Saccharomyces cerevisiae S288C: one gene and its partner. Changing the gene in region 1 together with any one later gene gives a genetic interaction. Each region holds a gene or a part of one and is shown on either strand. Other genes may lie near its edges.

Region 1 (3,962 bases):
TGCTATTATAGATCTTGAGACTGTGCATTATAGGAATTCTGCCTTGAGAAATTTACTGGACAAAGGTGAAGAAAAGTTAAGTGTATGGTATGAACCTTTATTGCGAGAATACTCCAAAGCAGTTAACGGAAAAAATTATTCCACAGGCAGTGAAACTAAGATTGCAGATTGCAGATGATTATGTTGCATAAGCGCAACTATAAAGGCGGCCTTGATTGTTTAATGTACTACCAGTATTGATTCCTGTCTGAATCAAAAACTAACCTTTTGGCGAGGTGGCCCATTCAGTTTTCTTCTCCATAAATTGTATAAATCAGTATGTAAGGTCTGGCAAGTACTTATAATTCACATTTCAATGTCTATGTAGCATGCATGATTTTTATTATAAAGAAAAACTATTCGCCTAAGCGCGTTCGTTTCTTTCCCACTAATTGCGAACGATTTGCCTATATAAATACTTAACGGCACCCCAATCATCCACACCCTCTGAATGCCGTTCTTCAACTACTTTTAAATCACTCTCTTTTAGTAATAATTTCAAAACCTCTCGTTCTTTGGCGTATTTTGCCCTTAAAGGTATTTCTAGGTGACAGGTCCCTGATGCCGCCAAAAACTTCGATATCATGTTAACTACCCATTCCGGATGCTGAGGCGAATATATCGGGTCGGCGATCAATATGACGTCAAATTCATTTTCATGTCCAAATTTATCTATAAAATCGTGAGGATTAGTCCAATCTAATATCTCTGCTTGAACGAAATCTCCTAAATTATTTAATGACACATTTTTCTTCAAATTCGTCACAATCTCGGGTAAATCCGTCACGAAGATTTCTATATTTTCAGTTCCATAAAGTTCTTTCCATTTTAAGGCCCATGAAAGTCCTACTAAACCAGTGCCCGCTCCTAATTCTAATACTTTAATCTGTTTGATGTCGCTGTTCGCTAACATGTTCACATTAGTGGTATGTAGGTAATCCAGGTGATCTACGACTAATTGTGAAAGTATTAAAGATGATCCCCATGTTTTCCAACCAAGATTATCGGCCGTTAAAGAGGGTTCATGAAGCGGTATGGAAGTGCTTAGATTTCTTAATTCAAAATATCTTACTATGGATGGTTGGGCCGTTCTCCCACAGTTTTCGGATATCCTTGAGCTCAATTCCTTAAGAAGTTCTTGTATGATTTCCTCATTCAATCCGCAACTATTATTGTATTTTTTCAATACACTAGTATAGTAGCCCAACAGTAGTTCTTTGGATACTGTAAATCTCAGCATTGGGATTTTATTGCATATCTTTTCCAACGAGTTTAACCTCTTGTTAGGCCATTCTTCTGTATACCAAGTCAAAAGTCTTTTCAGCAGATCGGGTTCCAGCCCATGACTCTTGCAAACCTCCAGTACAGATTTGTTCTTCCCTGTCTCCTGATTGAAGTTTACTTGTCTATCGGGCTTCAGAAGTATTAGTATACAAAGGATAACTTCTGGCGGAGCATACTTCACGGAGGGCAGATCCAGATTATCGATAATGGTGTCATCGTCGTCACTCTCTTCTTCATCTACAGCCGTTAATATTTCGTCACGTTGCGGTGAGCAAGGATCTTTTGGCTCTCTCTCTGCTAGATTGAACTGTAAAGCCTCAACCTGGATGTCATCAGGGGTGTACAAATCGAGAGGATCAAACATAGTGAAATATCCGCTATGGAACTCCTAACTTGCATGAGTTAGATACTTGAAAAGTAATATACAGATTGCACTACTATTATTTTGTAGCTCATCGCGAAATTGAAGAAAAAATTTACGATTGGAAAAAAAAAAACTACTATCAGAAATAGGTGAACCAATTTTAATGCCTGGATAGAGCTGCATACGCTACTAGCTTAAACCAATATTGGTGTCGCCTGTTTTCCTTTACCCAATCCAATATACCACTATACTGCGAATGAAGGTGTTGAAATAATTTGACAAGAGCACTTTATCCATTTTGCATGCGACCTTTACTAGCAATTTTTCAGCGATCTTTGCGGGCTTTAAAATAAGGTCAAAATTAAAGGGAGAAAGATAGAAGACAGTAAATAAAAAATACAAACCACAATAAGCATAAGTGGCTAGGCGAGTCTTAAACTACAGAGTCAAGCAATGGCAACAGACCTAAATCGTAAAAGAAGTGCTACCTCAGGCTCACTGAGCGTCACGAACCCGAACATAAAAGCAACTAATCGCAAACCAGCTAGAGTTTATAGTGTTTCTTCTGATATAGTACCGCAAGCGCTGACACATCCCGACGAAGATGTGCATCTAAAAACATCCAAATCTCCTCATGATGCCGCTCCTAGATGGTCACAGGTGGGGTTTCAATCTATATTCCATGATGGTTCCAATGCAAGGCGCTCGACGGATTCGATTGAAGAGGAGTACAGCCAAGGCACGGAGAATAACGATGGTCACTCCGAAATAGGTTCATCAAGTAGTAACCGAATGGAGGGGAACACCACGTCTAATGATAGTTTATTTTCTTCCAACTCAAGGGGCAATAAAAGGCGACTGTCCATCTTCACCAATTCAAAAGATAATATGAGAAATCGAAGCAGGAGCGGGTCAAAAAACTACGGCACTGTTATTACCGGCACAAGTAGTAACAACATAAGTAGGAGTGGCTCTAAATTGTTTCATACGAAATCTAATATGAGTGTGAACAGTTTACAATCTTCACTGTCTACAGGACATTCTCATTCAAACAAAGGCAGTAATGTCTTTAGCAAAATGGCAAAAAAGCTTTTACCCTACAAGCCGCATAATTCCATTGGTAAAGACGACGTTGAACCCGTAGTTCCCAGCCCATTCAGTAAATTTCTGCATTCTTCATATGGTAAACATAGGTCACCCGTACAGTTTATCCATACTTCTACTGGAGGCCTTATTGACTCTGGAAAATCTGTATATTCCTTTAACCCTAGCATTAACAACAACCCTAATGATACAGCTCTATCGCTGATCCAAGATGATGCTTTCGACGCGACTAATGTTTCTTTACTACATGATTTACTGAAAAACTTGCCATCCTTGATAGCAAACTATAAAAGCTTCACCGTACAGGAGTTATTTGTTCTGGAGGGGAATATCTGGGGTATATACTGCAGCATAGTTGTGGAGCTATTTAAAAACAAGAGGGTATGGCAATTGCCAGCAAAAATAGAAGATATTGACCGGCTGCTGGAATTTTATATCACTTTGAAAACACAAACCAAGGCTGCCGTAACGCACTCAAGGTTTTTGGCCGAAATCGAGGAATTCATTACCACTTCACTTTACATTTTAGAGAACCAGATTGTGTTCAATTATGCCAATGAGGATACCGTAAATACGGCTTTGAAAAGAGTCGGCATAATCTGGAAGGTGTTTTACCAACAGGTTTACTACGACATGATGGCAGTGTTACTGCCCTTCGAGAAAAGCTTCCAAAAAAATAGTAACTACTGGCTTGACGGATATCTATCTGAACCTTCAAGGTACGCACCGTCAATTGATGTCCTTTTATTAAAGTGTTTTAGAGACTCCATCATTCTTCCGTATTACGAAAGCTTCCTACATACAAATGACGGTGCCAGTAAGAGTTTTCAAAGATATATTTTCAGCGAGGAAGAACAGAACGGCGTCACAGAGGAAGATAAACTGACGCTGCTGCAGTGTTTTGGGATCCTGAATACCATAAAAGGTAACAGCAGAAACCAAAGAATTATTGGTGAACTTCTTGAGGGCATACGCATGAGTATATAATTAAATATTTTATTTAGTAATATACAATAGTGGCATATAGATAGGTGTATTTCCTTTTTCTTGTTCCAAGAATCCGGAAAAACAGATGCTCTTTTCCGCCCTATAAAGGGGCCAATGGGGAAAGTGCAGATCATATTAACTTGCTAAAGAGTCAGAAAGAACCAAATAATAAAAAGAAGAACTA
Region 2 (2,938 bases), on another chromosome or scaffold:
TGCATTGAATTCATTGCTATTACTGCGGCTGTCTTTTGAATCCCTGTTCATGACCGCCGTTCCATCATTTGTAGATTCATGTCCTCCCAAATCAGATACTGTTTTGTTTATGTTTGAGGTCACTGTATCAAAATTCAAATCATCTAAATCTTTTTCATTGATATAAGATTCCATATCGGAAATATTGTTGCTTTCCGTTTCCGTCAAACCGTCCCTACTCACCGATCCGTTACCGCTGGCGCTGCTTCCATCTCCATGTATACCTTTATTGGCATTCAGTGAATCAGATTTTTGTCCATCATTTTTATTGTCAGTTAAAAAAATTTTCCCCTTTTGACTTGTGGGGAAATGAGATTTTAACCTTGAAGCACTTCCTATATTGCCATTTGAACTCTCTCGATCATCAAGAATGCTGATGCTGTTTCTGTTATTTGTGTAGGTGTTGTTTTTATTGTTGGACATGCCGTTGATGCCTTTGTGGGCTGGACTTGCTCCAGAACCCTTAGCATCAAAATCATCATCTAACTGAAAAAATTGAGAGTGTATATCGTCACCTTCTTCGTCATCGTCGTCGTCATCATCTTCTTCTTCTAAGTTTTCATCGAAATCGAAGTTCATATCGAATTTACTGCCTTTCTTATTATGGCGAGCACCAGGTGGATGCAAAGTAGATGATTTTGCTCTTGTATTAGTTGTATTCATGACATTTTTATTTCCAGAAGTATTTGAGTGGTCCCTTCGACTTTTGAATATCCTCACGAAAGGAAGCGACGATCTCTTACTAGATTTCTTCTGCATTTCCATCGAACTATTTAAATATGAGTCTTCCTTTGAGGAAGTTTTGTGATGTTTTCCACTGGTATGGTCGTCATCATTTAAAAGAGAGTTCGACGCAGATGAATTAAGTGGATTATAACGAAGTGTTCCATTTTCTTCAACTATCAGAGTATTTTTTGCACTTTTATCTTGCAAATTTCGTGTTTCTTCCTCGTCTCTTTCAGTCTTCTCTGCTCCTATTAAATTCTGGTTAGCCTTTCCTTTTTGGCCTTCATTCTCCCTCATTATCCTCATTTTCCCTAATGAAGCATAGTTTTCCATAAAATCCTTAGATACCGGTGGAGACTCTAGTTCAGGTAACAAGCTTACGCCGTCTGAGTTCATATATAATTCACGGATAGAAGAATCTAAGCACTGCTCTGTGTTGAATTCATCTACGGGTATGTACGGTTTTATTATTCTTTTCATTTGATCTTTCTCCGGACACACTCGTAGAAACTGAGCCCGCAGTTCATTTAATACCGTCACCGTGTCCATTATCGTCTTATTATGGTGTGGTGGGGGTTTTACAAACACTGTTTTATTTAGTTTTCCTGTTCAGTAGCCTGTATCTATTGAGAATTATTATACCGTATATTTTTTGACGCGGGCTGATATGTAAGGTCGGCTAAAAAAAAGAAAAATTTCAAAAGTTAAACTAACCTCATCGCAACCACAATCCATTTAAAGCCTGGTTCTAGAGGCTTCATAGACGTTTACAGATTTAATAAAGTAGATAGCGTACAGTTTTAATGGCTCTCTCTTCAAACTGGCAGGCACTATTAGCCTCCGAAAGCAATCCTACCTCCAATGGAAAGAATAAGCAATCAAATAGGAAAATCAGAAACGTTAAGAAAGTTAGCAAAACAGTAAATGTCAGTAGTACAACCCAATATGCCCCTCGAAAGCGCAAAAACGGCAGTAAAATTATGGACATGGTATATAACATGAACAAGGAGATTAGTAAGCATGAGAAAGACAAGCTCGAGGGAAAAGTGTTTGAATTCAACCCAAATAAAGCAAATACTAGTACTACTATTAAAGAGCCAGTAAAAGTGGGTATTTCGGAAGATACTCGTATTAATAGTAATAAGAGTAAAGAAATTGGGAAATACATCGCCATGGATTGTGAATTTGTAGGCGTTGGTCCCGAGGGTAAAGAGTCTGCGTTAGCTAGAATATCAATCGTAAATTATTTTGGACATGTCGTCCTCGATGAATTTGTTAAGCCAAGAGAGAAAGTTGTAGAATGGAGAACTTGGGTTAGTGGTATTAAACCAGAGCATATGAAAAATGCCATTACATTCAAAGAAGCTCAAAAAAAGACTGCGGATATTCTGGAAGGTAGAATTCTTGTAGGGCACGCTTTAAAGCATGATCTCGAAGCATTGATGTTATCCCACCCAAAGTCACTACTCAGGGACACTTCAAGACACCTCCCATTCAGGAAGTTGTATGCTAAGGGTAAAACACCCAGCTTAAAGAAATTAACCAGGGAGGTTTTAAAAATTTCCATTCAAGAAGGTGAGCATTCTTCAGTCGAAGATGCTCGTGCCACCATGCTATTATATAAAAAGGAAAAAACGGAATTTGAAAAAATTCACAGAAACACTTTCAACTAAGACGGTAGATGAATGGCCCCTTTTATTCTTACAATTAAAATGCATTGGTATGTACATTAGTCTATGTGGCGCTTGAATTTACTGAGCCATTCATTACACGATAGAATATATAAAAATTGTAGCTGTATAAAAGCAACCCACGTAACAAATTGCGAAAAATTAGCGATAAGAAAACCCTAACATGAGATATGTACATTCATGCTTACAGATAGATATTGATATTTCTTTCATTAGTTTATGTAACACCTCTAAGCAGAACATGACATCCTTGATAAAATCATTGTCATTATTCTCTTACGTTCATAGATATCTTCAGGTTTTACATCTAAAGGTATCATCATGTCGGAGTTCTTCGCAAATATACCAGAAGAAGTCACAATCGATAAACCTCTTTTGGTTAGACGTTCAATGGATTCTTCGTGAAGTTTTTCTAACGAATTAGACTCTGAATGCGTCACTAATAAGTTTAAAATATCGAAAGCAAGTGGAACACAATCCGA

The links. Genes that interact genetically often act in the same process or in processes that back each other up.
Region 2: mutations in BIT2 (region 1) and REX4 together harm fitness more than expected from each alone (negative genetic interaction), as found in Saccharomyces cerevisiae (2 studies listed by BioGRID).

Annotation. Positions count from the first base shown.
Region 1 is NC_001134.8:742,577-746,538, reverse strand, and holds BIT2 (Bit2p), read left to right. Parts: upstream 1-2,140; coding exon 2,141-3,778; downstream 3,779-3,962. Other genes in the region: HSM3 (Hsm3p), read left to right, coding at 1-178; EFM2 (S-adenosylmethionine-dependent methyltransferase), read right to left, coding at 428-1,687.
Region 2 is NC_001147.6:180,058-182,995, reverse strand, and holds REX4 (putative 3'-5' exonuclease), read left to right. Parts: upstream 1-1,568; coding exon 1,569-2,438; downstream 2,439-2,938. Other genes in the region: AVO1 (Avo1p), read right to left, coding at 1-1,314; Ras GTPase activating protein IRA2, read right to left, coding at 2,687-2,938. UniProt on the Saccharomyces cerevisiae protein: Exoribonuclease involved in ribosome biosynthesis. Involved in the processing of ITS1, the internal transcribed spacer localized between the 18S and 5.8S rRNAs.